4 linked regions of the Schizosaccharomyces pombe genome follow. Changing the gene in region 2 together with the main gene of any one other region gives a genetic interaction. Each region holds a gene or a part of one and is shown on either strand. Other genes may lie near its edges. The genes, in order: vtc4, pqr1, atg8 and atg13.

Region 1 (8,712 bases), on a different chromosome or scaffold from region 2:
AAGTACTCCTGATACCACTGGTTCAGACATCCATATTGTCAGCGAAAAGCGTGGTAAAAAAGGTTCTAAAGTTATAACAGCTAAGAAAGTATCTGCCAAAGAAAGGCGTGAAGCACGTCGCGCTAGAAGGCAAACTGCTTTGGAGGAATCTCTTAAAGCACCTATTTCAATAGAGGATGCTACAGACCCACAAACTATTTTGGCAATTTTAAAACAAAAAAAGGCTAAGAAGAAGCATGCGGCTCGAGAAATGGAAATTTCGTCTCAAATTCCTTCTAATGATTCATCAAACGTTCAAACACCCACTGCCGAATCAGAGATTGAAGAAGATGGCGTCTCCGAGCCCATTAGTGCAGAAGTAATTGAAGACCAAAGTCGTAACAGTGAAGCTGAGAATGAAAAAGGTTTGTCTACTGAACAGAGAGACGAAAAAAAGCATGCGAAGGTTGAAAGTTTTCAAAGACAAGAGATGCCGAGGAGTTTATTCGAAGAAATATTTTTTGCAATTGATTCTTTAACCCCTAATCCTCAACAGCAGGATACTGTGATAAACGCTGTTCCGACATTTGCCCCATACAATGCTATGACTAAATTTAACCAGAAGGTAAAAGTCATGCCTGGAACTGGAAAAGTTGGGAAAGCGGCAAGGGAATCAATCGCCTACTTCATGAAAAAACTTCCCAAGTCATCAAAAGAAGCTGCTTATCTTGAAAACCTTAAAGACGGTGAAATTGTTGCTCCTATAAGTGTGAGTCGTTTAAAGATGGTTTTTGGATCTAGCGGTAATACCAAAAAGTCAAAGAAATGAAAATATTTATTTGAGATTAATAGTTGGAGCTACTTCACTGTTTGATTTTGTTTTTGTTTTTGTTTTTTTAAACAGAAATTGAAGAAATCAGCGAATATTATGGTTTTCAAAGAGAATTTTGTATCAAAAAGTTAAATTTGTTTATTAATAAAATGACAATTCCTACATTAGACTTCATTTAATATCATCTAAAAGTAATGTGCTGGCATTAAGCATGACCTTGTTATTGCTCTTTGAAAGAATGTTTGCAATTTCACGAGCAGTTTCAAGCTTTCTTAACTCGATGAAACCAGGCTTATTTTTAATAGCTTCACCAATTAGTTGCGCTGCTCTACCTTCACCTTGAGCACGAACAATAAAGCCCTGTTTTTCCATTCGAGCACGATCGACATAGAAAGTAGCTAAAAAATTATTGTTAATATTGAATTTGTACGAAGAGCTGAACCATACCTCTTTGAGCATCTTGCTGGGCAATTTGCTTGGCCTCTACAGCGGCTGTAAATTCAGGAGAGAATTGAACTATTGGATGCAGTTAGTATTTTAAGGTACAAACGCTTGACTAATGTTAGTCATACCATGAGTAAGTGAGACATCATCAAGCAAAATATTGAATCGGGCTGCTCTCTTCATTAAATTCTCGCGAACCAACCTAGATACACGTTCACGCTGGGTGATCAACTGGCTTGCATTAAATTGAGCTACAACGCTTTTTAAGACTTCATTAACAATAGAGGGCAAAACACGTTCATCATAATCACCACCTAAAGTACGATAAATTTTTGGCAAAGCATGAACATCGGGACGAGACAAAACACGACAATTAATGTTCACCATTTGTAAATCTAAAGAAAAATGGTTAACATATTTCTAGTAATACAACCAACAAAAACCCCTCAAAGCTTAGCTATTCGAGAAGAGTAGAATCCATAAACACAATTCATCACTTTGCAACTAAAAGCTTAATTCACAGTAGGTATAAAAACCAAATGAATGTTTCTTACAGTCACCTTTAGTTATGTACGCTCAACGTTTTAATTCTTGTAACCTACCTTTCGTTCCGGTTAGAGAAGATATATTTCGTGGTTTAGCACGAACATCGTAATCAATGGCCGTTTCGATCCAAGGAATCAAGAAGTGGGTTCCTTCAGGATATATAAGGTTTTTAATTCCTCCAATCCTGCTATACTTAATAGCTCGGTGACCACCATCAACGTTAAAAAGAGAAGTCTGCACAGCAAATCCTGCAAGGCCAAGAGCTAACAACAAACCAGTTCCTGTAAAAGCATATTTTCCTTTAGGAAGTCCCCGCTTCATCAAATCATTCATCTGCTGGAACGGTCTTTGACGATTCATACTGAAAAGCTGTATACGGGAAAGAAAGACTTGTAAAATGAATACGTATAAGTAAGCATTTAAAATGGCACTTCAGTATACCTTATCCATTTTATCGTATTGTATCATAGTACGGTATTTGAGTTGGATTAATGTTGTTTTATATGCAAAAAAAAAACAAATAACTCGATAGTTTTTTTCATAATTTTCTTTTATTTTATTGATATTATAATATAAAATTAGCAGGAATTGAATACTGCTATTTTTATCGCTTTGTAGTGTGCAGCCTTGATAGAAAATGTGAGGTGCGTCGTTTTATTTCGCGAACAAGTTGAAACTTACTAAACTTCATTCATTATATGATTTATATTTTTTTTCTAATTACAAACAAAAAGGTATTGACGTTTTAATTTTAAAACTTGCTTTTTCAATAAACGGTGAACGATGTGCATTTAAAATCTAAACAAAAATATTTTTTCCCATACCTGTTATTTTGTTTTATTTTTTGAAACAAAAAAAACTGTAATTAATCAACTGTCTGATAAATAAACGAAGAAAAGCCATCGGGGACTCAAAAATATAAGTTATCAATTACATTTGCATTGTACGTTTAACAGCATTCTATGATTGAATTTTATAAAAGGTATGCTAAGACAATAGAATATTGCAACAATGTTACAATATTTAATATGAAACCGAAATTTGTTTTGCATTTTCTTATTTACTATCTTTTGGTGCAAAAGCACACATAAATGAATTTTTCTAGTAATTCTTTTACTTTTAATTTTCTTTGTAAACCTTCTTTCGATTTAATGTATAGACGGGCTTTGTTTTGTTTACAATAAATAAAAATATCTGCAATCGATACTCTACGAGACATAATTAAAAAAAAAAAATAAATAAAAGTAAAAATAAAAAGACATAGGCCCTTGGTCACAATAGTGATTGGTATAAACGAGAAACATAGTAATATGAATTATAATAGTCAAAAAATGTATACATGATATTTAGTAGTATTATAATTATTAGACTAATTTTTTGAAGTATATCTAAGGATCAAAAAGAAGCTTTATTGTTATAACATGTATTTTGAACAAAAGCTGCATAAATGAAGCATCATCCATCTTAGCGCAAGCTCAGAAGTAATATATACATAAAAGAAAATAGCCAACTTTATAAGGACTATATTAAAGATAAGGCCTCCCGAGGAGATTTGAAAATATTGTACGTTTGAACAAGCAAAGTAAAAAGGTAACGTCAAATAAACCTCGGAAGAATATATTCAATCTTTCAGCTCGTTTGAGATAAAAGTCATCATAAATTACTTAGCATTTATTTTAGCTGTTACGTCTACCTGGCACAAACCTGTACTAAATACGAGTAATTCTTTTCACTTTCAAATAACAGTAGTTTTCTTTTACGAAAGTTTTATCTGCAGGAGTTTCGAAAACGTCAAAAAGGAAAAGTAAGTAGCTCAAGTGTTCGCAGTTGCTTATATGAATCGTAAATGTATAATCTTACTCTTTTGATTTACTAATAGCGTATCCTTCTATGCCTGGCAATCGATAATCCAACAAGACACAACTAATAGTGACATACAATTGATGAACACTGTATCAATATCTCAAGACGACACTTAAAAGTTAAGGGATACATTCTACAGCAGGTCAAAGTAGATACATTCATCATAGTGTGTTTATTTCAACTGTTTCTATTTGTAGCACGTTGCTATTATAATTGGTTTACATTTTTTTAAGTAATCTAATTTTTGACGTCTTAAAAAAGTCGAAAACGAAGCTTATAACTAACAACAAAATAAAAAGAAGCACAAACAGAAAATGAATACCAAATACCAATTTAAAAGAGAAGGAAGCTGATCAAAAATTAATATAGATTGCTTAATTCAGTGACGCAATATAATTAATTTCTGTTTTCATGAACTTTACTTTTGAGACATCTGCTTCAACTTTTGCTTTACGATCTTCTGCTCTTCAATCAAGAAGGCACGAACAATTCGATCCTTGACAGCATTGGCGCTAAGGCATCCACCATAGGCACGTTGGACCTTCTTCTGGTTGTGCGAGAGACGAGCGAACTCACGAGGACGCAAAGCAGGAATACCTTGCAAGGGAACACCGGTATCACCGCAGCGAGGTATAGTACCAAGCTTCTTAATATGAAGGTAGCGAATGTTATTACCGGGAGTCTTGATGATTCTGGTTTTGTTGCTACGAGTGTTGTATGCAAGACGACGACGATAAGTAACTCTTTGAGCCATTTTGAATTATGAAATGAAAATGAAAATAAAATTATTAAAATTTTACAGCGCTGATTTGGTTGCTTGAATGCTATTCCTTAATGAAATATTCCTAACTATCCTTTTCCACCGAAAAAAAAGGCAATCGCAAAATTCAAGTGTACACGTTCTTTTTTTCTATAGAACCCTTAAATTTATGATAAACTGACCAACTTTGTCCTCTTGTTTTATACTTCTTCTGTTAGAAGTGTAAGGCGCACGGAGAGTTGATTATTGCTCTGAAAACCAACTTTTTGCGTGACTGTTTGGGATCGTGAAACGGATATATCGAGGCATAACAAACTCAACGCAAAATAACATAATGAATTATACTTAACTGCTTTAAAATGAAGATTATTTGAAATCAGAAATATCATGTTTCGAGGACATTTTGCTTTTTAATTTGCATCAGATTTTCACACCTAAAAAATCAACTTCTTCAGCTTTGAAATTGATTTTGGATCGCCTTTTCCCGATCTTGTCAACTTTTGAGTTATTTCATCTTTACGCCACTACCACCCTGACCATTTTTCTCTCCACCACACCTGCAAACTACCAACGTTCAAGCTCGTTTAATTACAGATATATTTACAGTTTTTTTTTGACTCTACAGAGTTTTTTTTGGAGTTACCTTTTTTTTAATTTTTTTTGTGCTTAAGTTATAGCTACAAAAGTGCTTGTTGTCTCTTTGATTGTTTTGTGAACAAATTTTGTGATATTGAAGATTTATTCGTAGGATATTACTGTTTGGCACTTAAGTTTGTCAAATACTAGTAAAATTCCCAAAGAGGAAGATATTATTTCCCGTTTGCAGTTGTTTTTCACTTTTTTTACTCTTCGTCGAATTTTTCAAGGGATCACCTAATAACAGTCTTTGATATTAAAAATTCAATCATTCTTTATTCCCAAATTTATACGTTTATTTTCCCTTGAATCCCTCTTTATTATTTACTAGATTAACTTATTGAAAATTGCAACATGAAGTTTGGTCAGCTTTTGAAGGAAACGTTGATGTATGAATACAAGTATTCATATGTCAACTATGACAAACTAAAGAAGGAAATTAAACGCCGCAATGATCAAGGTGGTTGGAGTGAGGAAGACGAGTCGGACTTTGTTGAACTTTTAGAAAAGGAGCTGGATAAAGTTTATTCTTTTCAAAAGAACAAGTCTGCCGAAGTTATGGAACGTATCCGATTCTGTGAAGAACAAACTGATGAAGTTGTTCGTCGTCTTGATAGTGATAATCCTCCCAATGAAAATGATTTTGCAATCTTGGAAACTGAACTTACCGACATTATGGCTACTGTCCACGATTTGGCCAAATTTAGCGAACTTAATTACACTGCGTTTTATAAAATCATCAAGAAGCACGACAAACATACAGGTTGGATCCTTAAGCCCGTTTTTGCTGCTCGTTTAAATGCTAAACCATTTTTCAAAGAGCAATATGATTTATTGGTTGTTAAGCTCAGTAAGCTTTACGATTTCGTTCGTACTAGAGGTAGCCCTATCAAAGGTGATAGTGCTGCCGGTGGTACACAACAAAACTTCGTGCGTCAAACCACTAAATATTGGGTTCACCCAAATAATGTTACCGAATTGAAGATTTACATTTTAAAGCATCTTCCTGTACTTGTTTTCAATCCTAACAAAGAATTTGCTCGTGAAGATGCTGCTATTACTAGTATCTACTATGATAACGATGATTTGGATTTTTACTTAGGCCGTTTGGAAAAGCGTGAAGGCGCCGAAGCTATTCGTCTTCGTTGGTATGGTAATATGGATAACAACAATATCTTTGTTGAACGAAAGACTCATAGAGAAGACTGGACTGGTGAAAAAAGTGTGAAAGCTAGATTTCCCCTTAAAGAGAAATATGTAAATGCTTTTCTCCGAGGTGATTACACTGTCGAAGAAGCATTTGCCAAGATGCGTAAAGATGGCAAGAAGTCTTTGAAAGAAATCGAAAGTCTTGAAAGGCTTGCCAAGGAAGTTCAGTATACTGTTTTGAGCCGTGGAATGAAACCTTATGTTCGCAGCTTTTATGAACGTACTGCATTTCAACTTCCAGGTGATGCACGTGTTCGTATTTCTCTTGATACGAACTTGTCATTGATTAGGGAAGACGGTCCGTCCCGCGCCGGTAACAACTGGAGAAGAATGGATATTGGAATTGACTATCCTTTTGATCAACTTCCTGATGAAGATATTGTTCGTTTCCCTTATGCCATTTTGGAGGTCAAGTTGCAAACTCAATTTGGTCAAGATCCTCCTGAATGGGTTAACAATCTTGTTAATAGCCACCTGGTCGAGGCTGTCCCTAAGTTTTCCAAGTTCATCCACGGTGTATCTACTCTTTTTTACGACCGTGTTACTTTGCTTCCATATTGGTTCCCACAAATGGACATTGATATTCGTAAACCTGCTACTCACACTTTCATTCAGGGACGCAGTCAAAGCGGTACTCATAGTTCATCTGTCTCTGCGAATGTACTCACCGATTCTGAGAATACACCAATTCATGCCGATGGTGACAATTATGTTGACGAAGAATCTCGTATTGGCTCATCTAGTACCCGGAATGACAATTCTACCTTCCAAACATCGGACAGTTTTCAAGAGCTCGATGAACGCACTAATTTGCTTGATATTTCCAAAAGGAAAGGACGTGACTCATTCGTTGCAGCTCTCAACAGCAGATTAAAGGACATTAAGGATTCATTTTTCTTGGAGACTGTACCCAAGTTCGAAGAACCTACTGAGCCTACGGTCATATATGAACAAAAGTATGTGTCGCCTCCTGGTAAGCGAATTTATGTCCCAGTCCGTGTTGAGCCCAAGACATATTTTGCCTTGGAGCGTACATACCTGGACTATCTACGCTATTCTATTTTGATGGGTTCCATCGGTATAACTTTATTTAGTTTCGCTAAGACGCGATCTGGTATTTTAGGAGCTGCTAGTTTCACGTTGGTAGCTTTATTTGCTATCTTCTATTCCACGTTTTTGTACTTGTGGAGAGCTGTTAACATAGCCAAACATAATGCGGTCCGATATGATGATCGTTTTGGTCCTACAGCTATATGCGTGATTACTTTTGCTGCAATCAGCGCCAATGTTATCTTAAACTTCAATGCATAAACTCATTGAATTCTCCAATATATTTAGAATTAGCAATTGAAAGATAATACAAATCAACTACATCTTTTAATAATTGAAGACTAATTATCGGTTTAATAACTAGTCTTAATATTGCATTTTTTGCATTAATATGCGTTAATTTAATTGGGAACATGGTCAACGGGGTTTTATTTGGGTTTCTTACTATTATTTTTTGATTGCTTTATAGCATATTATATTGGGTTCTTTAATTTTCTTTCAACTGCTTCACAGCACATTATTCAGGATTCTTATTTTTTTTAATTGCGTCGCAGCACATTATTCGGGGGGTTTTTATTTTTAATTTTTAATCACTTTTTAGAATACATTTTACAATCTAGAATTTCAAAATAAAATATTATTTAAAACAAAAAGCAAGCAAAATCATTTAACAGTTATGTCTATGGTCGCCTATGCAGAATAATTTTTCCAACCAACTTTTTCTAATTTATCAGCCTTTTCTAAAACAATCTCTTTCATATTGTCCATAAAGCTCTCCATAGCAGCCAAAAGGGAGGGTTGAAATGTAGCAAGTATACGACAGGCTAAAATACCGGCATTTTGGCTATTATTGATAGCAACAGTGGCGACAGGGACACCTCGAGGCATCTGAACAATAGAGTGAAGAGAGTCAACTCCGTCAAGAGTGCTTCCTTTTACAGGAACGCCGATTACTGGAAGAGGTGTCATTGCAGCAACCATACCAGGCAAATGAGCGGCACCACCAGCACCAGCAATAATCACACGCAACCCTCTTGAAGCTGCGGTACGAGCATAAGTAACCATGCGATCTGGTGTGCGGTGAGCTGAAACAATAGTAAGTTCGTAAGGCACCTTGAATTCATCTAAAATGACGGCAGCATCTTTCATCTTGCTTAAATCAGAATCCGAACCCATGATAATACCAACAACAGGTGATTCGACAGGATCTTTGACGTCAAGAAGCATCTGATACCTACGTTCACATTCTTGAGGTGAATCAGAAATGATGGTAACGTGTCCCATCTTGCGACCCTTTCTAGATTCAGCTTTACCATAAAGATGCAAAGTTGCACCGGGAATGGACAGAGAACGTTTAGCGATCTTTGAAACATAATCAGGATCATCAGTACCT
Region 2 (8,358 bases):
CTAATTTTTCTTTTTGGGATTCAAATTCCTCTAAATAAGACTTAGTAGTTGGGTTGTATCGTTTCCAATTATTTTGTTGCCCCTTTAGCACAAAATCTTGTCTGGTTTTCAAACGTCCACCAAAGTTGGTAGCAAAAAGTTCTACAGGATGTAAAGCTGTACGATTTGCAGAATGACATCTAGTAACCTGTTGACATAAAGAGTTGATTTCTTTATCGTTCATCAGATCATCAAATGCACAATCCAAAACAATTCGGATACTACTAGGAACGACCTTTCCTAGTCTGATCCTCTTCTTTTGACTTTTAACTACTTCGCCAGCTTCAATTTTTCGCTTTCTTTCCTCTTTTCGTAATCGCTTTTTTTCCCGGCGCATCTCTGCTCGCTTTTCACGACCTGCATCCCACTCTTGCTGTCTTTTTAATCTTTTTAATGCAGATTTGCTAAGAACGGGTTGCTCTTGAGTTTCATTTTTAGAAACGTCAGCTTCAGAAGTATTTGTGTCATCTTTACCAATATCTAAAGCGTCTTTGTTTTCCATAATTTCCCAACTTTATTGCAGTCAAAATATAGCCTAAATTTATCTAGTTATATCGTTATTTTGAACCTAGCCAGGCTGTTCATCTAATGGAAAAAGTAAGAGTGTTGTGAAGTATAAAAAGTTGGTAACTACGCCAATCTCGCAATTATTAACTTTGGGTAATAAAGGGATTCAGGAAGTCGAAAATAAAAAAATTTTGCAAAATTGTATTATTTACAAACTTCGACAAAACAAGCTTTGAAAAATGGCAACAAACGATCAAAAAATCGATAACAAATCGACGGTATCAAATATGCTTGAAAATCCTATGTTTCAGACATTTTCAAAAAAAGAAACAGAAAAGCCATCACTATCTGAATATATGGAACAACTTACTTCAGAGTTTGGAGAAGAGCTAGACAATTTAAGGCAAAAGGAAATTTTTGATCATAACAAACTACAATTGCTTATTGAAAGTTTGCGTGCTGGTCACAAAATTTATGAATAATGGTTTATATAACTTAGCAAAAAACAGACCTGTATTATTCTATTAAAAAAGATAAGCTTGCGGTGCTAATCTTGATCCAACTTATCGTCTTCGTTCAAAAAACCATCTTCGGATGCTGTATAAAACTCGTTATCAGAGATTTCGACAAAAGTAAATGTTTTTTCTATTTCCTCAAAACTTCTCGTATAGAAGTCAGAGGAAGAAACTTTGTTCGAATATGGGGATTCGCTAGGAGCATCTTCGGGTTGTTTATTCGATTCCGCGTTTTTCTGGGCTTCTTTTGCGTGCTTTTTTATTTCTTGGTTCATTTTCCTTAAATTTTTTTTATGTTTTTTGCTGTTTTCATGGTTCTCCAATTGATTTTGTGATCGAAAGTTCTTGTTACAAACCATACACATTATTGGATTTGAATTCACAATTTCTTTGCTCAAAGATTCATCATCGCTGGATGTTTCTTCCTGATCGATTATTGTCCAAGACGCAATTGATTGGTTTTTAAAAGTTTCCTGGTACTGACGCCGATCACGTTCACTTTGCTTTCGCGATGCTTCTTGTAGGGAGTTGTATCTTTCTCCATCGCTTAGTTTCACAACGTTTTTTCTCCGTGGATCAAGATCACATGCTTTTCCTATTAAATCTCTGACAAGTTCGTTATATCGCTGAATGCAGTATTGTATCTGCCTTTGATTTTGTCTCTTCATTAATCGCCGTGTAGCTGCATCACTTTCCTCTTCTTCATTATATAGAGCTTCCCATTCAAAAGATTTTTTCGTTGAAAATCTTAGCCATTTTTGATAAATAGGTTTGGCATACGTCCAAAGCCAAGTTGTGTCCCCTAAAGTTGGAAGGTCGTCTGTGGAACCCGCTATTTTTTCGTCTTGTCGCAGTCTTTCAACGAACGCTGAGGTGCTTTCAAAAGGGATTTTCTCAATTGTTTGTAGATGCTGCAAAACGTCTTCAATTTGTACAGAATATTGGTTTCTTAGATAGTCTTTTTCATGCCATTTTCGTTTATCATCATTAGAGAGAATATTGTATGCAGCGTTTATTTGGGAAAATATTTCGTTATAGTCTTCAATGCCCGGATTTCTATCGGGATGATATTGCAAAGCTAATTTTCTGTTATGATTAGTAAAGATACACAAAGGCGATCAATTCTTCACAACTTAAACGATTATGTTTTAATCACAGATCGAAAAGCTGTAAATTTATATTCTATGTTGATTGATTAAGTTGAAAACAAGTTTTCATACCGGTAATTTGCTTTAATCTCTTGCAAGTCAGAGTCATGATTCACTTGCAAGATTTCATAGCAATCCATATCCTTAAAAGGGTTATTCATGATTGGTGATAAATAATTTGCATAAAATCATAAGTTAACCAGTAAAAGACTTATATAAAGTAGCTTCAAAGACAAAATTCCAAGGCCGAGGAGTGGAATGAATTATCAACCGCAATTGAGATTGCTTGTGATAAACTAACAATTCAATTCTACAATTGAAATACAAAAAAAGCAAAAAAATTGAGAGTTGCCCGTTCAATCGCCAAAATACAATACCTTCAGTACGTTCTATGTAAAATGGTGATCTTTCTCACAAACCGGCGACAATAGCTCCCAACTGTGTTTCAAAAAATGTAGAAAGAGACAAAAAGGCGAATTGACGAGAAACAACGAATCAAAATACTGTTAATGCTAAAAAATAAAGTAATATGCTATGGGTAAATTAAATCTGTGTTGACAAACCCGCAAATACATAATATGGTGTGGTCCCTCACGTCTCGCCAATGCTGAAGTAAATAAATACAACAAGCGAAACATAAGTTAAAGTTGTGTACGAAATCATTTGAACCCTAAATAAATTTGTGTTCTATACATGCAAACTTTAGACAGTTTGAAATCCGAAAAATCACTTTTGTAAAAAATGAATATATGAATAAATATATATATTAACATATATTGATATATGTATAATCTTAATACAGTTTACAAACTACTGTCTTCTTAATTAAGAAAACATGGTTCTCATGAAAACTTATATTGTTATTTAAGGTCTTGCTGCTATATATGCATTAGCAAAATGCACATTTCCAAAAAATGAAGTTAAAATTATCAGTTTACAAAAGACATTGAACTAAAGATCAAATTTTTCCACAACCGAATTAAAATGTAAGATTGTGTTTTTTAGAAGAAGCCAATGCGCTAATAATAATGCCATGCTTGCATTGCTTAAAAACAAACGAACTTCTTGCCTTCATGTAGCAAGGCTATTATCACGAATTTTCATGTTAATTTCGCTATGAATGCTTGGTCTTTTCTGAGTTAATCAATACTATTTAGCTAAGGTTTCGCTCATATAGAATACGAAAATTTCGCATTTATTAATGCAAATTTCCTCGATGTTTTTAATATATTGTGTTGCTAATCTGACTATATAACACTGCCTCTTCAAGGGACAAATAGTTTTAACAAAATTTGTTTACATTATTGAGTCAAGCAATTACGACCCGATGTTATAAGCATTACGCAGATTTCTTTTACAAAAGGGAGGTCTCTTTCATTTACCCCAAGCTTAGCATTACAAAATCATGTGCAAATGAGAAGACTACTTTTAGGGAAAATAAAAATCTAAACTTGATTGGAAAGCGAAAGTTTAAATCCTAAATTGTTTGAGGTTGACGTGTTAGTTTTTCACCGTAATAAGTAAATAGCATTGTATAATGAATAAAAGAAAAATTTTGATAGTTTAACAATTGCTGCTATTCATATTTTAATAGAATCTCAAAATTCATACTAATCGACTTTCTTATCCTTCTATATTCTTCAATATTTCAAACTCGTTTTAAGTCTCTCCTATAGCTTGGGATTATTCAATGAAATTGTAATTGTCGTCCTTTCCTTTACATTGTGAATACTAAAAAATTGCTTCTTCCAGAATTGTTTTATTGACTCACGGATTTGCAACATGTCCTTCTCCTCTTTTTTTTTTTTTTTTCTTTTTTTTTCTAATCTGTAAAAAAACCAAAATTTTACAATCTCGATAATCCTTTTAATGTCTATAGTCATCAAACACGTTTATCTACTTACTCAATACGATAATGTACAATAATTCCATACGAAACTTGCCCTTATCTGTTTTAGTTTTTTGTGGCACACCGTTAACTAATCGTGAATAAAATGGTTATTACAGTCATAGTCCGGTTTAATCGGATCAATCAAATATAATTAGATACCTACTTATTATCATATACATACAAAATTAAAAACAATACAAAAAAGAGGAAAACAAAGAGGCTCAACTTCTTACCGACTATCCTTTATCTCTCTTTTTTTTTTATTTTTTTTTATTTTTTCTCTTTTGGCACAGTGCTACAGAACATTTGTTCAACAACCCAACTCTGTACGTTTCACACATTGTCAGCAAATTGTTGACAATCAGCACAAGCCTCATTCTATAAAGCTAAGGAAGATTTCGTACCACTGCTGGTCTTCCAATTGCCCCTGCTTCCTTTCCTTTTACTGTAAGGCTTACCGGAAGGCCGTTTACTAATAACATTGCGAACCCGAGTGCGGTTGGGTAGTATTACCTATACCGCAAGTTCCTCCGCTCTTTTTATGACGTCAGGGGGAAATGCTTTGGTTTGCCACCTTGCGTCGTCTAACGCGGTGCAATATAAGGATGCGAAAGGACTGCAAGGATTTTCACCTGTCATGAACCAACAAGGATTTTGACGATTAGTACAGTGTTAAAACTTTTGAAATAGTATCGAAAATTCATTTACTATATGTATAAGTATTAAGGAGTTACGCATCTCTTTACAATTTTAAACACTCACGTACCTTTGGTTGAATCAAGCCAGGCAGGTCTCCGTTTGCGAACGACGGTTTCGGTTGATTCGAAACGTGGTATTAGAAAATCATTTTATTTATTTTCATTCCCATTCCATTTATCTATTCTATCTAATTTCGTCCCATTGTAGCTTGTTGTTTTATCACAAGCAGCTTTTAGGTCTTTGGGCTGTTACTTTTTTCTTCACTTCATTCCATTACTAATATATATATATTTTAATCAAAACGTACGCAATTCAACTCTGCGAAACTCTATCTTGCAAGCTTTCTTTCTCCATCTGCTTGTAATAAAGAAAATACTTAACTCCGATACTTCGATTGCAAAGGTCGGAGCACTCATTTTTATAAAAACCACAAAGCTTTCTCCTTCTTGGGCTTTGGTTTTTTATTCTGTAGTTTTACCGCCTTTCAAATATTTTGATTTCAATCTTTTGTAAAGGTTTCATCCTCTTTCATTTTCATTGAAAAAAAGTCCTTCCGATATGAAATTTGGACACGATTTTAAAAGGGCTCTCGAAAACGATATGCCCCCTGGTTGGGGCGAGGCTGCCATTCAGTACAAGGCCTTAAAAAAATGTATTAAAAGGTTCGTTTTTGAGCTGTCTTCCTTGGGTCTAAGTGCTGAGACCATCAGTAAATTGATGGCTCCGACTACCGTGGATCCCCAACAAGCTATTACGCTTAGTTACTCCCTTGGCAAAGAGGGACACATTGTTGTCCCCAAAATTATTATCAACGTAAATTTTGATAAATTGAAAACTGATAAGTTCGCTGCTTCAATGTTCAAGCAGTTGAATGCATCAAATATGATTACAACCGTCAGGAGTAATTATGCCTCAAATGTTCCTTCTACTCCTTCGGATTCTACTCAGCAGCCCCCTACCAATACGTTACCAAGTGTGTCCGCATCATCTCAGAGCGTAGAGACTTGTGAAACGGTTGATGAAGATATCGATACTCAAACTATGAGTTCTGACATGTCCGAAGTTCAAAGTATGGAAATATCGTTGAACTGTGACCACGAGTTTTTTGAAAAATTAACTTCGGAGTTGCAAAGTGTTGAAGGACTACAGCGTGAACAGCGTAAAATTCTTTTTAACGCAATTGATATCCTGAGTCATGAAATATCTCTTATAGCTTCCCCTAATTCCAAAAAGAAATACAAATCTCTTTATTGCTGGAGAAAAATTTTCGAAATTTATATGGATTCCGATATATTTATTTCTTGCAAGGAAGCTGATCAGAGTCATGAACGCACTCCCGAGCTCGCTGAGCGCCATTTGAAATGGTTTGACGATCAGGTCAGGCTAGCAAAATGTCTTCCCTCTTCCTCAAAGCATCGTGATCGTATTTTGTATGCTAAGTTTCTTGAACTTAATGAAAGTTTGTTGAAAGTTGCTTCTTTTCAGCAAATGAATAAGTTAGCCGTTACGAAGATCATGAAAAAGTTTGATAAGCGGACATCCTTAACCGCTCAACCTCTATTTTTTCAAGTTATCGAATCAGACCCTCTTCTTTTGGTCGACAATGCTTCTAAAGCTATATGCTTTTCACTCTCTTCTAAGCTATTCTCGATTATTCCTCAACTGAGGGATTTTGAATGCGCTATATGCTCTAACGTTGCTTACAAGCCGGTGAGATTAGGTTGTTCCCATGTTTTTTGTTTGCATTGCCTTATCATTCTTCAGAAACAGAAAGTTGATTTCTGTCCGTTGTGTCGTGCCAAAGAAGTTATGAAAGCCGATTCTCGCAATATTGATCACGCCTTGATGAATTTTATGAAAACATATTTCCCAAGAGAGATTAAGGAAAAGTTTGAAGAAAATGAGAACGATACGTTTACTCCTTCTTCAATTTCTGTTGTATCAGGTCAGAACAATTGTGTGATAATGTAGATAGACGACGGATTTGTTTCCGCTAAATTCCCAACCCTCTCTTAAAGGCTCAGGACTATTTTTTACTCACTATATTTGATTATCTGTTTTTTTATGTTTTCCTTGCCTAATTTGCATACTAACTTTCTATTTTTCTTTCCTCACCTAACTTTTATTGCTGTAAATAGCATTTTCGTGTGTTTCTTTGTTATAAACGTTTGCTTATAATTCTCGGTTTTTTCTTATATTTAGCTTTTTTAAATGCTTGTACATAATACTTGCTCATCACATACCATTAATCTTTACTAAACCGAACATATTTTTTAAAAATCAACATAGACAATAGACATTTATAGAATTTTAGCTTACAAAAGCTGTGTAATGTTTTAGGAAATCGTATTCGTAACTTAAATTTACCAAATTTGAACTCATTATTCATATTATTCGGAAGTTCTTGTAGTCAACCTCTGATGTATTTGTAAACTTAACGTAACTTTCAGCAACTAAACATTGATAGTCCGAAAAACAATGCTTTTATCTCAATTCCTAAGTTACCCACTTACAGTGTTTAATATGTCTCTCTTCACAGATTTTAATGAATAATTGTGCTATGGGTAGTAGTTTTTGTGTTTGGAACACTAGCAAAAGCTGTTTTTTGCTTTCTAAAACCGACTTTACCGGAGCATCAAGAAGTCCTTTGCCACGATTTCACTGAAAACTCCGAATGAACAAGATTTAAGATATTTGACAACGTTTAAATCCGAGTATTTCGCGGAGTAATTTAAGGCTGTTTACAACTATTACTAACTCAACCTAATATCGGAGTAGTTTTGAGCGTTGTACTTTTTTGTTATAAGTGGAAGTAATTATACTTCACCAGCTACTAAATATTCTAAGTGGTAATGGAATATATAGTGTCATTACTTAAAGGTCACATAGACTGAAAAAAGGAAACGTTTGGATTTTTTTGATGAATATATTCAACTATACTACTCTGATTTTTCGCCGTTTAAGCTCTACCTTCAAAGCTTCAAACAAAGCCTCTATAGAGTGGAAAAAGCAGAACATAGCGGTCAAACGAAAAATTGGAGGCTATTGGAATCCAAAAAAGAAACTTCCTTTAGAATCTATGGACGAAATTCGGCGTCTAAAGAAAGAAAAATCATCTATGTCATGTTCAGAATTGGCAAAACTATATGGAGTTTCACCTGAAAGTATTCGCCGAATTTTGAAATCCTCTAATAGACCATTAGACGATCGGGAGAAATCTCGTAAAGAAAAACGTTGGTTGAATAGTCTTAAAAGTAATCGTGATTTTGCATAGATTTATATACTTTTTTGAGTTGCCTTGAAATAATTCGATCTGTAATGTTGGAATCAATTGTTTATGAACTAAAAGTGAAGCTTCTCCTACCTACAGTAGTAAGGGTTTTGAATTATTCAGAAGAAAAGTATGAGCAATACTAGAAGACTTTTAAATTGCTACGAAATCACCATTCAATAAGTTACAAATTTCGACTATAACTTGATGAATGTTCATTTTAAAGTAATACAAAAACTATTATTACTTGTATTAAAAAAGCTCCATACACTACTTACAGAATCGGAA
Region 3 (7,007 bases), on a different chromosome or scaffold from region 2:
CCCGTAACTATCATTAGAAATTGTCTCATGAAACGACTGTCGAAGTCGAAGTGGATTTTCACCCATACGTTGACAAACTAACTCTCTTAAGCGACGTGATATTTTTGAATTTGTATTATTGTCAAGTTCTGAGCGGCTAGAAAAACTAGAGCCATGAAGTGCTGGGAGCGTTCTACGGTTTCCAGAAGACACATTGGCTATTTCAATAGGGCGACTCATATAAGCAATTCACCTTCTAAGAAAGATCTATATTTCGCTCTACAGATAAACAATTGGGACTAACCCAAAACAAAAAGACAAATCTGTAAAAGTATGGTACATATCTAGGCCATACTACACTATACATATATTGGTATAGTTATTTCTTAAATATTACGATATTCAACAGGTTCTCATGGCGTAGTCATTCTAACATTCTTTCGTCAAAAGATCATCACAGTTGAACCAATTTTCTAAGATCTTTGAAGGTGAATACTGTTAAAACAGATAAGTTCTTTACTCTTCTTGTATAATATGTATGTCATTAAATGCAGAAGTAAATATTATGACATTTACAAAGAAAATTACCATGTCGACTTCGCAGTACCTTATTTAAGATTTTTGAACGTTCCTACATTGATGATACCTTTCATTTTAAATTGTCAAATTACCTAGTATGTACGACTATTCGTAGGAAAGTTGATTTAAGAAGATTATGATTTAAACATTGAATAACATCTAGTATGCTAAATAGGCCATCCTAGGTAATAATGGTGTAGTAAGAGAAAGAAAATAGAAAGCAAAAATTTGGTTTATAGGTTGGGTCGAGTATTCCTTTGAACCGGAGGTGGAACAGAAGTTGGCGAGCTTACACCGGACGAATTACTAGAAGTTCGGGCAGCAAGTCTTCTTGGCTTTGGAGGTGCAGGTGGAGGTGGTTTCTTAACAGGCGACGCTGTAGAAGCAGCAGTCGCCGCGGGAACAGATCCAGATGCATATGAACTGTTTTGAGAAACCCTTCGGGGAGGAGGAACCGGCAAGGGTGCATTTGCAGAAGCTGTAGGGAGAGGAGAAGAGGCAGTATAATTAGCGTTTGACTGATAAGTTTGGGAATAAGAACCAGAAGAGCTGTAGGAGGGAGGTGGGGGCATCTGAGACATTACATTAGGACGAACAGGAGGTGGTGGGACTTGTTCTTGATTTAAGACGGACGGACGACTCCCTGGTCGACTAGGAAGTGAAGGAGTCCCTCTTGAAGGAAGAGCGGGTTCCTTGGGGGGCTGTGAAGGTTGGGAATAAGAAGGCTGCGAATAAGAGGGTTTCGAATAATCTTGATTTCCTACAGCCGGGCTAGCCGTTCTAGGTGTACTTCCAGTACTACTACCACCGGCACGCAACTGTGAAGCATGTTTTGGAGGAGGAGGCAATTTTGTAACATCGACATATTTTATTGATAAACGAGGCCCGGTTCCATGAACGGATCTAATATCATACATAGCATCTTCGCCATGTTCACCTATAAATCCCATTTTGTTAGTAATGTCTCAAAAAGCAAAGGAAATATGCTTACCTGGTAATTTCGATGTAATCTTATTCTGGAAGCGGTTCGCAGAATCCGACATCGAATGCAGTGATTTTTTTGTTGAGTCAAACATTACGATTAGTTTGAAATTGATTTCTCACAATTGACGCAAAAACCGATTTTACCCAAATGTTTGCGGTGGACAGCTTCCGACTCTCGAAATTCCTTAAGTCCGCTTTTCTAAGAGCCCATAGGGTAAACAACTACACAACGTGCTAGTAATATCAGCCAGCTGATAGGAAAAAATAATGTCTTTGAGTTCTTTTTGATAAAACATAACAAAATAGTAAGCAGCTAATAAGCTTCGCGTTTGTTGTCAATACTTACTATCAGAATTGCAGCATTGCTATTACGCTTGCTAAATTGGATAATATACGTAGAGTTCTATATTCATTCAATTGAAAACTTGTTAAAATCGCATTCTTTATGCGTATATTAGTTATACAACTATGGCTGTCAGAAAATGCAAACAAACTACCACAAGAAGTGATCCTTCCAATGATAAACGTTTATGTTAACAGAATGTAAAATCATTGCTTTTCAAGTAAATCTTATAAACACTAGATGTTGATGACTTTCATAAATAGAAAGTAGGGATTACAATTCATCTGTTCCGTCATCTTCAACATTTTCTTGAGACAACTGCCCAGATTTGATAATTTTTACATCTTCAAGAGGCTTATCACGGTTGTCAGTCTCAGCTTTGGAAATTTTCTTGACAATATCGTAACCAGAAAGGACTGATAAAATTAGTATTAGCAAACAAAAAAAAGGAAAAAGAAAACAAATAGTCACTTTTATAAAACATATACAACTACAATATGAATTCTTACCTTCACCAAAAACAACATGGTGTCCATCTAACCAAGGTGTTTTAACTGTAGTAATGAAAAACTGAGATCCATTGGAATCGGGTCCAGCGTTAGCCATGCTAAGCAAACCGGGACGTTGGTGAGAAAGCTTAAAGTTTTCATCAGGAAAACGGCTGCCATAAATTGATTTTCCACCAGTACCATCACCCTTCGTAATATCACCACCTTGAATCATGAAATTGGGAATAACGCGATGGAAAATAGATCCTTCATATCCAAATCCCTTTTCTCCGGTGGCTAATGCGCGGAAATTTTCGGCTGTTTTGGGAACAGTTTTACCAAACAATCCAATGGTAACTCTTCCAAGGAACTCATCACCTTGTTGCAAGTCGAAATACACTGTGTCTGTAACTTTGGGGCCACGGTTGGCAGAGATAAGCCCAAAGAAAAGAGTAAAAAGTAAAGAGAAATAGAACAACTTCATTTTTGTTTTCACAAACTAAAAGCTTCGTTGTGTGGTAAAGGATAAATAAATAGTTATGGTGGGGTTTAATAGCAAGACTCGCTAGATTTTGGTTGCTGTAGCAACTTTTAGCACAATGTTAAGCAAATAATTCAAGAAGCGCTTATTTGTTTACATCAAACACTACTATTTTTCTAATGGTTTGATTATTTAATGAAAGATAGAAATAGTAATTATTTGCAAAATTCTATTTCCTAACCTTTTTTGGAAGGTATTTACGTGTTAAGCGTGCTATTATTTATTTACACAACGTCTTTATTTCCATTCTTGCTTTTCTTCCTAAAAGAGTTGTGACTTTTGTTGTACCAAGGATTGAGTATATACCAATTATGGCTATCATACTATAAAGAAGTAGTAAAAATTCCTTTTGATTGTGTACTGCTTAAGATTCGTAAAGTATTTATTTATTACGAAATAAGGTAACTTATCATAGTATCATAAGATTGCTTCATATCTCTGTATACGTTACCCAAGGGTACGCTTATTTATCCAAGACCGTATACCACATAACTCACGCACCGTTTACAAAGAACACCGAATTTTGAAGCAATTGAAGAGAGGAGTTACTACTTCAAGCAAGAAGTTTGAGAGTTCTCATGCGTTCTCAATTCAAGGACGACTTTTCTTTTGGTATGTGTCAAAAACTTATAGAAGTTGTTTTTTGGACAGCATTGTAGAATACCTGGAACTAGTAGGCTAATTAATAATCAGAGAAACGAAAAACAGAGTCTCAAAGAATCCGGGAAAAATATCCCGATCGAATACCTGTAAGTAGAGTCTGGTGGTCAAAGAGAACAGGTTTCAGAGCAAAATAGTGGTGAATTGAACAACACCCATTGTTTTTGTCATCAAAAGTGAATCCATTGTTACAAGTCTGACCTTTTTCTTTCAAAAATACAAATTACGTTTTAAACTTAACTGCTAACTTAACAGGTTATTTGCGAGAAAGTTGATAAATCTGATATTGCTGCAATAGATAAAAAGAAATATCTCGTTCCATCTGACCTTACAGTTGGTCAATTTGTATATGTTATTCGCAAACGGATAAAACTTTCTCCTGAGAAGGCCATCTTTATTTTCATTGATGAAATCTTGCCCCCGACAGCGGCCTTGATGTCAACGATATACGAAGAGCATAAAAGTGAGGACGGCTTTTTGTATATCACGTATTCAGGAGAAAATACATTTGGAACAGTGTTTCCTTTTTAGATCAACAATTTGCCTGTTTTAAGATGGCCCCGCCTTCTTTTAATTGTGATCAGCAAAATTGTTTGTGGACAATGGTTGAATGATTCTTTATGTTTTTTTTACTCTGCATTTCTAGCTTTTTAGCTTTCAAGTTTCTTTGCTTTTGCATTATGATTATTTTACGCGCGTCTTATACATATCATTCTCAGGTTAGCCACCACGATTTTAAGGATGTTTCAGATTTGTCTTACAATAGATGTGATGAACGCTTATGACTAGTTTGCTTTGACAACAAAGTTATTTTACCTTGTTAATTAATAAAAACCATCAATTAAAAAAATTGATTTTGATTTTCTAATAATATTAAAATGTTGATAAATAATAAGTAGATATATATCATCAGCTGATTCTATCCTTTTTTACATTAACTGGTTGTCATAATAGCGAATACTATTCACATGCCCCAAAAAATTGGTCAATCGTAAACTTTCATAATTCAAGCAACAAGTGTTATAACTATATTTCAAAATAAAGCCCACTCCTGCATTTCAAAAATTTCAGTAGCATTTCATCACTGAGAATGCTCCATCTTTATCGATGGGCGGCACCTGTTGATAATAAAACTAATTTCTTCTTTTTTTTGTTTTTTGAGTTTTTGGAAGGTGCAGATAATTGAGCAACTTTGTCCCAGTCAACTTTCCAACCATCAAGATCGTCTTGATCATCGGTGTCATTTTGAATATTGGCAAGAGCTCTTGTTCCCCAAACAGTCTTTGCAGTAGATAAGGTAGACTCATCTGTATTAACCTCATCGGTAGATTCAAATTGATGATGACTTCCCAATGTGGGGAATGCTTCAGCAGGGTCCTCATGCACTACGGTTTTTGGCACAGGTCTCTGCATATTTAACTCGGAGTATATCTGTTCCTCTGTATCACGTTCAGCCCGTTGTCGATACCTTTCTTCTCTCATTTCTTGAGCTTTACGTTGCTTGCGTCGTTTACTGATTTCTGATTTGAAGGTTAACAAGACTTCTTTGGGAATAATCTTAGACCAATCACACTCAATAAAGGCAACTTCACAGCCTTCAGGTAAATGAGCCATATATTTGAACCGCTGACGAAGCTCAGAATTCACTAAGTGACCGGATGATATTCTTTCTACCCTAGGAACAAGCTCATCAGGAAAATTTTCGTACGATCCGAAAGCAGATTTTAAAATACGAATATCTAAAGGAGAGAGATAGATGTGGGAGTGAGCGAAAGGTTGATAGAATAGATAGGCATCTGCGATTTCAGATCCGCTAACATCATTCAAATCGTCAACTTCGGAAAGCTGTTTGAGGCTATTACTTTGAAGGCAAAGATTATCAATGTCGGTTTGCAAAGATTTGATGTTCTGTTCATTAACAGATTCAGATAAAGATGAGATTCGATCTAACAAAATTTGTGTGATTCGTTCATAGTATGTATCTGCAGACCCATATAATGAAATATCTTCAGCAGCTATTTGCTGAAGCTGCTCAATTTCTAATAAATGTTGTTGAACCATATAATCGTGAGATCCAATAATTATACGAGCGTACGCAGCCCCGCTCATAGTAAAATTAGGAATTTCATCTGAATGAAATGATCCATCTAAAGCAAAAGATCTACAAGATCTAGGAAACGCAAGTATAGATCCATTATTCCTCTGGTATAAACGAAGGCAGACGGACTTTCCTTCCTCAAGTTTCTGAAATTCCTTGTCTTCCACCCAGCGGATAGGATGAACATCTCGTAAACGTATGCTATCCCAACAAATAGGACAGCTACGATGACCACATTTTACTATCTTGGTGCCAGAAGTTTCAGCGGCTTTAACCTCCGCCGCCGTAGGGGTCTCGACGAATCGAAGCAAACAAGAAAAGCAATAAACATGCCCACATCTGGACATCCTTGCAGCGACAGGCTTTTCTTCAAGGCAAAACGGGCAAGCTGCTAGTTGAAAATCGGAAGAGCAAAGTACTTGCCAAACATCCTCCCACTTTACCGGAGAATCTGGATCTAGTTTCTGTGATTGATAATCACCAATAGGAGAGACAACAAACCTATAGTTTGCATTAACATATCTTGATTTATCCATGGGATGATGACCAGATCCTTGACCATAAGTATTATATCCACGGGACCTACGCGGAGGAGCAGAAAAGGCGTTCGAATTAGTCCTAGGTGTAAACTGAAAATTAAGTAGATGATTTAGATTAATCTGACCACGCTTATTAGTTCTCGCAGATAAAATATCAAAAAGATGTTCATCATAGACAGTTTGCGGATCATCAAGTGATTCGCCAATAGAATCAGCAATTGCACTTGATTGCTTTTCAAGACGCTTTTTATTCTTAGTTTTTCTTTCGCTAGAAGCTAATTGCTGATTCTTCCTGGGCATGCCTTGAGTCTTCTTCTCGGAATTTCGATGAGGCTTTCTATCGGCGCTATGTTCTTTAGTTTTGGCAGATGATCGGGGAATATTGGAAGAAGAAGGAATGAAGTTGGGAGATTTTGCATTTAACTTGCTCGAAGAATTACTGTTCGACGGCATCTCTCCCAATGCAGATTTTTCTCCGTTAAGCATTAAAACTAGTTATGAATCTTTAATACCAGTAAAATCAATCAAAGCATTTAAGCCTTTGACAGATTTTTAAACAGCAGACGGCTAAGGAGCTTAAATTCGTTTGAATAATCAATAACTATTAGACAAACGTCTTTGTGGCCTCCAAATCGTCTACCAAAACTGCTAAGGTAGAGAAAGTAAGACAACGCATATCGACGGCGAAATAAATTGTATAAAACACGTTAGTACAGTATTGTAAATACTGAATTTTAAGAAGTTACTTCGCACCTCATAATCGCTTTTAAAAATATTGAGTACGCTATAATCATCG
Region 4 (9,058 bases), 2.4 Mb from region 2:
AGCAACCTCCTTTAGTCACTGGATTATTTCATGTGATGCACCAACTTGTTATCGCCACGACAGCATTGCGTTCTATGTTTACAAATGCTGAAATCCATGACTTTGATGGAGATGAGGAAGAGGTCTTTAAGGATGTTGAAGAAGATGACGTTTCCGAAGATCAAAAGGTAGATTCAGATAAAGACGGGAAATTAAGTGATAAGCAATCTCATTCTGCCTATGTTGTAGGCAATGTTAGTGTTTCAACCAAAAAAGAGCATCTCTCTTATGACGGTAGAAAGAGAGACCCTCAATACAGTAACGCAGATGGCTCATGTCTTTGGGAAATTCACCCTTTTTTGAACCATTTCCACCCAACCGTTTCACTCCTAGCCAAGAGCCTTGTTTATGGTGAAAAAATATTGGGTAAACCTAATTTGTCGCTTCATACGTTGAACCACTTTCTTGACAAATTTGCATATAGAAACCCGAAGAAGTCTGCTGCTGCTCGTGGTCATTCAATTATGCAACCATTAGCTGGAGGCCTGAGCAAAGGTTATGTTCCTGGTTCTACGTACAGTGGTGTTCCAATGAACTCTGAGCAGTTCACTTCAAAGAAACAAGAGGAGATTCCTGTTGATGAGCTTTTCTTTTATCGCTTTTTCAATGATAAATATATCAAGGGAAAGCAGGCTAGAAAGACAAAGGTGGATAGGGATGAAGAGGGTGAAATTGACGAGGATGAAGTTTGGAAAGCTCTTGTTGATTCCAAACCACAATTGGAAATGGATGAAGAGGAAAGTGACTTTGATTCTGAAGAGATGGATAAAGCAATGACCGATATGGGTAGTGATAGTGAACAGTCTGCAGATGAGAATGACAATGAGTCAATGGCTTCCGAAGAAAAACCCATGTTTTCAGACGAGGAAAATCTTTCGGAGATTGCACACTCTGAAGATGAGTTTGATGATACTGTTGATTTTTTTGAAGATGAAAATGATTTGCTTCCGTTCAATGAAACTGACGATGAGGAAGAAATACAAACCGTTGATCATTCCGAGACCCATTCTCATAAAAAGAAAAAGAGAAAAGCAATTAAAGATTTACCTGTATTTGCTGATGCTGAGTCGTATGCTCATTTACTCGAAAATTGATTTTTGCTGCTTAAGTATTGTAATTCAACATTTGGTTATTTCGTATAACTTCGAAGGTTTATTATATTCCTTTTTCCGTTGGTTAGGGGGCGATAATGGATATTTTAATTGGGATTTGCATATTTCGGGTATAGTTTTTTTAGATTAGAATTAATTTGTTAAAAAAAAATTTTTTTTATCCCTATACCGGCTTTGTATTGGATTTATAGTAAGGATTGAATTTTATCATTACTATTTACAAAAGACTATGATTTTCTAGTATAGAAAGTAATATACTCTATGTTTTAAGATGACCGTAATTTCAATTCCCCTTATCAATTGAATAAACAGAAAAATTAATTCTTATATAAACTAAGCGCTCTTTGATTTAATAGTTACTTTACACTACTAAAGAATTTTTGGGAGAATGTTAGCTGTTTTGTTTCAATTTGTCTGAGAAAATGAATGTATTATTTGCTTGTGTTACTCTAAAGAAACGAAAATGCAATCACATCCGTCAGACCAGCAACGATTTATAATAAAAAAGAGATAAAAAATGAAAGTTGTTAACAATAACATCATCAAATTAACAGAGCTTTTTGCGAATATTTTGGTCATTTTAAAAGTTGTGAAACATGTAAAATTTCAGAATGATGATGATCTGCAGTTAAATTTAACGAATAAGCACTTAACGCCCTGAAGTGCAATATATTGCTACACAAGTTATTAAATTTAGCACGATTTGAAAACTTACCCCCTAGCTCAATAATGTAAACATTTATAGCAGCAAAAATCGAATAAATTTCCAGCGGTATTTTTTCGAATTGCGGGTAGGGTGTGTCTATTAGAAAACAGAATACCCTTGTCAAAAAGAAGATACAGGCGTAAACCCAAAAACATGCGCCGCAATATATCGCCATTCGTTTTAAAATATTTAAAAAATTTCGAAACAATGCTAAAAAATTAGTATTGATATTATGGTGTTTAACTTACCTAGGTAGATTAGCCCTCTGGCAATCATCAAAACTCCAAACAAACACCACAGGAAGATTTGTGCCGAAACTGTTGCTTCAAACCCGTATTCCTTTGAAACATATTCAATTAAATCAAGAAAGGCTAGCAAGTAGACTCCGTATCCAAGTAAGGAAATGACAAATATTTTTGAACGGCGTGTCTGAGGTTTTGAGTTGCTGTTTGTGATTGTCGCCTGATTTCTATTTCGAAGATTATAATGTTCCTGTTGAGTAGTCTTCGGTTTTTGCTTGTCATCTTGAGTTTCCTGTCGATCAAATGATGATTCCTCTTGATTGCTCGAAGTCTCCTGTTGATTAGCTTGTGGTTCCTGGGGTACAGCTTTTTGACCAGCCTGTGGCTCCTGTTGGGTGACCTTTGAATAAGCTTGAGGGTTTTCTTGAACAGTCTCCAATTTTTTCCCAGCATTCTGAAGCTCCTCCTCTTGAACTGTCGAAGTTTTCTTTTTGTCCGTTTGTGATTCCCCTTGAGTAATGAAAGCTTCATATTGAGAGTCTAATTGAGGATTTCGAGGATCCTCCTGGTCAGTTGGAAAGTTCGCTTGACCAGTGTGAGATTCCTGTTGATCACTTTCAAAGCTTTGCATTCTTCCCATTTCAATTGAATCAATTCCCATCTCCAGGTCGCATGGTTTTTCTTTTGACTTTGTAAGAATGAATGATTTGATTACTTCCTTCAAGTTATACATTCTATGTCTCTGTTCATGCTTCACAAGTGGACTTGACGATCTAGAAGATCTATTCTGTTCATCTTCATTTTCGTCATTGACATTTTCCGGACACGGATCCTCTAGTAAGGTCTTCTGAATATTTCCAGATTCTGAACCATCTTCCTCCATTTCTTCTTGCACGTTGAAAATGGTTTCATTTTCCAAAACGTAAAAAGACGACAATGATGTTGATGATGTATTCTCGTTAAGCATTTCTCCCATTTCTTCAACTTATCTCTATCTTATTAATTATTGTTAATATTGAAGCAGTAAATCTGTTTTCAACAGTCAGATAATTTATAATTGGGGAACCGAAAAATGAAGACTTCTAAATAAAAACAAATAGCAGCAGTACAATTAAAGCCAAGCGATTATATTGGATTTCTAAAAAAAATAGAAACACCTTGTAACCAACAAATTTGAAACTTCAAAAAGTAGTATTTTAATCTTGGTGATTTGGAATGTAAAGAATATATAACATTTTGACAATTGATGATGAAAACATCGCAGCATCATGACTTATGGCATCTGCAATTTAATAGCAAAAACAAAAATTAATTAAAGTCTCGTTTCTTTATGACTCCTTATATCGTTGGTAAACCAGAGTACGAAATTCAAGGTATTTTAGTACTACCACATAATTTAATTCCTTTTTTTTTTTAAAAACGAAAAGGGCTGAGCAAACCTAAGCTTGCAAAACTTAGTACTGCCAAAAAAATGAGCATTTTATTAAAACTAAGAGCTCTTAGAAGTCAGTAATATCCTTTTAACTTCGGGTTAAAATCATGACCATTACCTTTAACATCAGTTGCATCGCTTCAAACATGATAATACTGAGGGTTTTACATTTAACTTTCACAAAAGTGATAGAGAATGCATCCTAAATCAATAAGCTAGTGCTTGTAAATGATTTTAATTAGTTAATAATTACCGTACACTCAGCCAACATAAATCGACATTATTGTTTGTTTTCCATAAGCGATGTTTGTGTATTTGGGTTTTAAAATAGCGAATATTTAGCGGCTGTCAACAAACATTTCCTACATTTAGCAATACATTACGTATCATCATTTGTTGTGCAATAAAAAAAAACGGTTAATATCCATTTATTGACAATTTTCGAAAATTGTATGTTTATGTCCGAAGTTTTTTCGGATTAAGGGAATCATAAATCAAATAAAACTCAGATTACTTAATTACTTGTTGTAGGTTATGCTCCATTTATTGTGAATTTAAATTGTTCCCTTCAACAAGACTACTTGCAGCACTGTTGCACATAATCCCTTTATATTCCAAAATAATAGCTCACAAAACAAGATTCACCGCAGTTTAAAGAGCCTTTAAATATAGCTACCATTTGTCTTATAACGTGATCGAAAGAAATCGTATTTAACGCAACGCTAATATTTACCGTGCTTCGTTGGAGCATGGCATCTGTAGTATCTTTTGCCGCTTACTACAATACTCTGCCTTACCAAATACGAACTGCAAAACCAAATTCATTCAATTAGGAAAACTAATTAAAAACTGCTTTATCAATTTAAAGAATGAGCTAACAATCAAATTGTTACATTAAAAAATTAATAATTTATACTTTGAAGTTGCAATTGAATTAATGGAAACCACATTGATATGCCGAGACTTAATACGCAGCTTCCTCGAATGTATTCTGCTCCCCCTGGGCATAGTAAAGCAGTTTCAACTGAGTTAAATAAAGATCTATCATCAGTGGGTGGTAGGAGCGCTAAGCTGGGCCAAGTCATTCACGTAAGTTAAAGTGTGTATCATAAGCTTGCTTGAGGTCCACCCATCCTTTACTTGAAAAGTATTAACATTTACAAATAGCATTGTTTTTATAAAACCGGATTAATAATTTTGGAATCCAGACTAAATGTATTTGGGACCTCTCGTCCTCGAGAAAGTTCTAAGAATAACAAATGGGTATGTATTTTTGTTTTTCTACAATGACGAGTATCGGTGTTATGCGCTTTATTCATACAGTGGTTTTCAAAAAACTCAAGATTATTTATCAATTACTTATCAGTTTACGTTCATCTCGTGCGTCTGCATAGAGTTTCATTTTTAAGCTACAGGTGAATAAGTTGATCACTGTACTATTGATGTATAAATGTGGAATTACAAATAATTAAAAAATTCATATTTGCACTTAATTAACAAAATGTAGTTCAATTTGGAAATTGTTGAAACTGAGCTTTATGCCGAGCAATTCAAAATTTGGAAGAATATTGAACTTTCTCCTTCACGAAAAATACCTCCAATGGTTTTGCACACATATTTAGATATATCTGATTTATCAAAAAATCAAACCCTTTCTGTTTCCGATGGTACTCATTCTCACGCAATCAACTTTAATAATATGTCGACAATGAAAATCGTACTTGAAAGATGGATTGTGAATTTAGATGGCGAAGCCTTATCAACCCCTCTGGAGTTGGCTGTTTTGTACAAAAAGTTAGTTGTTTTATTTCGTTCCCTCTACACTTATACCCATCTTATGCCTCTGTGGAAATTGAAGTCGAAAATACACAAATTAAGAGCTCATGGTACATCTTTAAAAGTTGGCTGTGCCCTCTCTACGGATGATGTTTTATCGAATGATTTCCTTCCTATAAGTGCTCCAATTTCATCCTCGCTCGGAAGCAGTATTGCAACTTTCTCTTTCAGCCCTGTTGGTACACCAGCTGGAGATTTTCGCATATCTGTTCAGTATCGTAAAAATTGTCATTTTGAGGTTCATGATTCTGATGCGTTACTCTCTAACCAGTTGTTATCTGCAGACAAGCATCAACTTGCTGCTTCGAACAATTCTCAAGATTTTGAAGATGGCAAACAGTATGATCAACCACCTCCTTCTTTTGCAACGCGGTTAGCTAAGCAGTCGGATCCGAATTCTCTTTTACAATCTGAAATCCAACATTTAGCTAGCATTGAGTCTATAACAGCTCAAGCAGCTCCTCTTGTTACTATACATCCTTTCAAATCTCCGTCATTATCTGCTTCCCCAGGGTCAAATTTTGACAATATGTCAATTTCTCCGAAGGTTGCAGTCAATCGTTATATACATCGCGGACCATCAGCCACCTCTTTAAATAAATTTTCAATGATTTCTGATGCTGCAAGCAAATCAAGAGCAAAATTGCCACCTCTTACATCTGGAAGTCTTAAGCTTAACACACTTGACATTTCCAATACCCCGAATCTTCGACGATTTAGCAGTAGTTTCGGTCCCCGCGAGCGTAAAGAAAGCTTTAGCTCTCGTAATCGTTTACCGCTAGTCAATCATCCTATTCGTAGCATTTTCAAACATAACGTCTCAGAGAATCCTATAACAGATCATTCTGAGCATGCTGTTTATGATAGTGAATTTGCATCAAAGGATGATCTTAGCGGTTTTATTCAACTATTAGATAGTCATGCACATCATTTAAATGCTTCGGAAGGTAGCAAATCAAGTGGTTCATTTCCAGGGAAGGTACAAACTTTGACATCTGGAATTTCGCCAGTTGCTCACCCTCATAATTCCTTGGGTAGTAGCAATGAAATTTTTGACATCGATACCTATAATCATTCAATTGATAATAGCGGATCCCGTTTTACTGAGGCTGTGAAGCATAATCTTGGAAATTCTAGCCATAGCATCATGCGCCATCACACTTTAGGTACGCTGCGATCTCGGCCTTCCTTCTCTGAAAAATCTACCTTCCCTGCTCCCCTGACATCCATTTCACAAGCTTCCACGTTCCAAGGAGATAACCGGTCTCCAAGCACTGTTATTCCTCATACTCAAACTGAAGTACCATCAGCAAACGATACTTCAAAGCAACTAGCATCTCTTCACGATATGCGGAAAAGTCAATCACCAATTTGTGCTAGATCGGCTACTTCTGCTGGACTTCCGCGTTTCGAATATCACACCAGCTTATCCAAATCACTGGAACATTCATCAACGCCAGCAAGCCTACAAGCAACAAAGACGCCCAGCCCTTCTTTTGTACTTGAGCCGGGAATCCCACAAGAGTACAAAAAGCACTTTGATAATCTTTCTGAAGAACGACGTCAATGTCTTACTCCTTCAACACCTACTTACGAATATTACAATGAGCATAACCCCAATTATGATGATGATTTATTGTTCACAATGACTGATATGACTCTTGAACCCCATGATGTTTCAGCTATTAGGCTTGGTTCTCCCAAATCCGATGATTAAGCGAAGCCTATGTTTAGAATTTGGAGTGATATAGCATCCATTTAATGCACTCAACCATTCTTGTTTTCTTTTAATTTTTTAATAGTTTTTTTCAGCTGCATTATAGCTTCAATTAAGCTTCGTTCCATACAAGTGAATTTCGCAATATTCGCCTCAATTCATGAGCTTTGGGCAGCGATTGAAAATACTCATAATGTCTGACTGTACTTTTCACATTTACCATGATTAGTATCTACATATACTGTTTATCTAGCTAGTGTAGGTATTAATTGAAATTGTAATTTAGTTTCTAATAATTTAAAAAATCACAGTTATTGAAAATTTAAATTTACTAGTTAGCAACAGAAACATCATGAATAATAGTAATTTGTTAGCTCTGTTTATTCTGTGTATAAAATATTAGCAACGTATACAGTTTCAAGATATTAATACAATCTTCTAGCTGCGATTTGAGCAATGTAAAACGCTATGATGTTTTACCATTGTTTTGAAAAAAAGAGGATGTTTCTTACTTCCTGAATATCGAAAAAAAGCACTACTATTTTATAAATTGGAATGTTTAAGATTAGTCAAAAACTATTTTTTTACCCTGGAATGCTGCACTAGAAGGCATTTTTTGTTTCCTTTTAGCCTCCCAAGAGGGATGCAGTTGCTCTGGTTTTTGAGGTGTTTGGTGCTCCGTAAAAGCATTTTCACGAGCAGCACGTTTAGCTTGCCTTTCTTCATACTTTCTCTGTCTTTCTTCACGAATACTCCTTTCTTCAGTCGCTTTTTTTATCAAATGGTTAGCACCTTTACCATACTTTTTTTCCCAAATAGCTTGTCTAGCTCTTTGACCACGACGATTTTTACGCTTCGGGATATCTACTTCTTCTAACTCCTTTTCGACAAATTCATCATCACTTTCGACTGGATCTAAGAAGCCCGCTGTAAGGGCAGGCAGATTAGTATTGTTATGTTTGCCCAGAGGAATTTCCAACATCTCATCATCAATTATAGACTTCCTGTTTATTAAAGTAGCATTTTGAAGAGATGATTCTTTTACACCTTCATTTTTCATAGAATATGACATAGACTTGTTGATTTCTTTGTCCTCAGTATTATCCAAAATCATACCAGTATCTTGATTAACGCCATCGGTGCTATTTTGAACATGGGTATTATCCACTTGGTCTTGATTAGAAGTTGATTTGTTTGACAAATCTACTTTTCCGATGGTCTTAATGGGTTTTTGGGTAGAAGACACAGCCTTTTTATCTGACAACTCTTGTAAATCGGGGTTTAAGAAACGAAGATACTTTTCGAGTATTGAGTTGATGTTTCGAATGGCATCAGATAATTGCTTGGAATTTAAAATTCTAGCAACGGTATTTCTCTGAGCATCCTCAGTCAAATCTGCAGGAAAATCAACATGAAGATTTTCGTTCAGTAACTTCCGAAAATCCTTGTTTTTAAGGATTTTTTTATAATAGCAATAATCAACAAATTTGGTGAAGTCAAATTGTTTGGCAAATTCAAATTCTGCCTCAAAACGGCCAAGAGTATCAGCATCTTCACTGGCTCTACAATTTTTAATTCTTCGTACAAGCTTTTGCCGTTCAAAGGTAGATGCCTTTTTCAATGCCTGTGATATTTTTTTCTTAAATAGAGGTATCTTTTTTGGAACATCATCGACACTTAATTGAGAGTGATGACTTTTTCTTTTGACGCCTTTGTGAGACGTAAAAACCATTTAAAAAATTATGCAAACCCTGAGTATAACCCACTAAAATCCAAAAAAACCAAATGAAATTTCTATAATAGTAAGTTTTGTGTTATTATGCCCAATTATAGCATAACCAGCAAAATATACAATTTTTTACCGATGTGGTGAAGAGTAATTTCACCGTATACGCCCCACAGATAATATAGCATCATCAGTGCTCTTTACAATTAAGGTGAATAATTATAAAACTTAATTTTAATCAATTCATA

What was found.
Region 1: of pqr1 (region 2) and vtc4, a mutation in one rescues a mutant of the other (synthetic rescue), as found in Schizosaccharomyces pombe (one study listed by BioGRID).
Region 3: of pqr1 (region 2) and atg8, a mutation in one rescues a mutant of the other (synthetic rescue), as found in Schizosaccharomyces pombe (one study listed by BioGRID).
Region 4: of pqr1 (region 2) and atg13, a mutation in one rescues a mutant of the other (synthetic rescue), as found in Schizosaccharomyces pombe (one study listed by BioGRID).

Annotation. Positions count from the first base shown.
Region 1 is NC_003421.2:1,317,293-1,326,004, reverse strand, and holds vtc4 (transporter chaperone complex subunit vtc4), read left to right. Parts: upstream 1-4,974; 5' UTR 4,975-5,414; coding exon 5,415-7,580; 3' UTR 7,581-7,630; downstream 7,631-8,712. Other genes in the region: ribosome quality control complex subunit Rqc2, read left to right, coding at 1-808; prohibitin Phb2, read right to left, coding at 983-1,209, 1,259-1,327, 1,384-1,650, 1,858-2,161; rpl3402 (60S ribosomal protein L34), read right to left, coding at 4,083-4,418; phosphoribosylaminoimidazole carboxylase Ade6, read right to left, coding at 8,010-8,712. UniProt on the Schizosaccharomyces pombe protein: Catalytic subunit of the vacuolar transporter chaperone (VTC) complex.
Region 2 is NC_003424.3:2,420,203-2,428,560, reverse strand, and holds pqr1 (ubiquitin-protein ligase E3), read left to right. Parts: upstream 1-4,734; 5' UTR 4,735-5,357; coding exon 5,358-6,770; 3' UTR 6,771-7,115; downstream 7,116-8,358. Other genes in the region: tRNA m(1)G methyltransferase Trm10, read right to left, coding at 1-541; ribosome assembly protein Rsa3, read left to right, coding at 786-1,028; epr1 (ATPase co-chaperone protein), read right to left, coding at 1,094-2,147, 2,282-2,370; protein Rrg9, read left to right, coding at 7,720-8,073.
Region 3 is NC_003423.3:3,681,751-3,688,757, reverse strand, and holds atg8 (autophagy-associated protein Atg8), read left to right. Parts: upstream 1-3,387; 5' UTR 3,388-3,492; coding exon 3,493-3,526; exon of another isoform or gene 3,527-3,607; coding exon 3,608-3,663; exon of another isoform or gene 3,664-3,829; coding exon 3,830-4,105; 3' UTR 4,106-4,477; downstream 4,478-7,007. Other genes in the region: mug30 (ubiquitin-protein ligase E3), read right to left, coding at 1-219; SPOM_SPBP8B7.26 (uncharacterized protein), read right to left, coding at 792-1,495, 1,550-1,634; cyclophilin family peptidyl-prolyl cis-trans isomerase Cyp4, read right to left, coding at 2,159-2,301, 2,395-2,857; rnf10 (ubiquitin-protein ligase E3), read right to left, coding at 4,676-6,697. UniProt on the Schizosaccharomyces pombe protein: Ubiquitin-like modifier involved in autophagosome formation. With atg4, mediates the delivery of the autophagosomes to the vacuole via the microtubule cytoskeleton.
Region 4 is NC_003424.3:4,838,872-4,847,929, reverse strand, and holds atg13 (autophagy-associated protein kinase regulatory subunit Atg13), read left to right. Parts: upstream 1-4,326; 5' UTR 4,327-4,485; coding exon 4,486-4,620; intron 4,621-4,698; coding exon 4,699-4,794; intron 4,795-5,038; coding exon 5,039-7,084; 3' UTR 7,085-7,445; downstream 7,446-9,058. Other genes in the region: ribosome biogenesis protein Noc1, read left to right, coding at 1-1,133; protein mug126, read right to left, coding at 1,801-1,826, 1,867-2,067, 2,106-3,075; BUD22 family ribosome small subunit biogenesis protein, read right to left, coding at 7,650-8,816. UniProt on the Schizosaccharomyces pombe protein: Component of the atg1 kinase complex that activates the atg1 kinase in a nutritional condition dependent manner through the TOR pathway, leading to autophagy.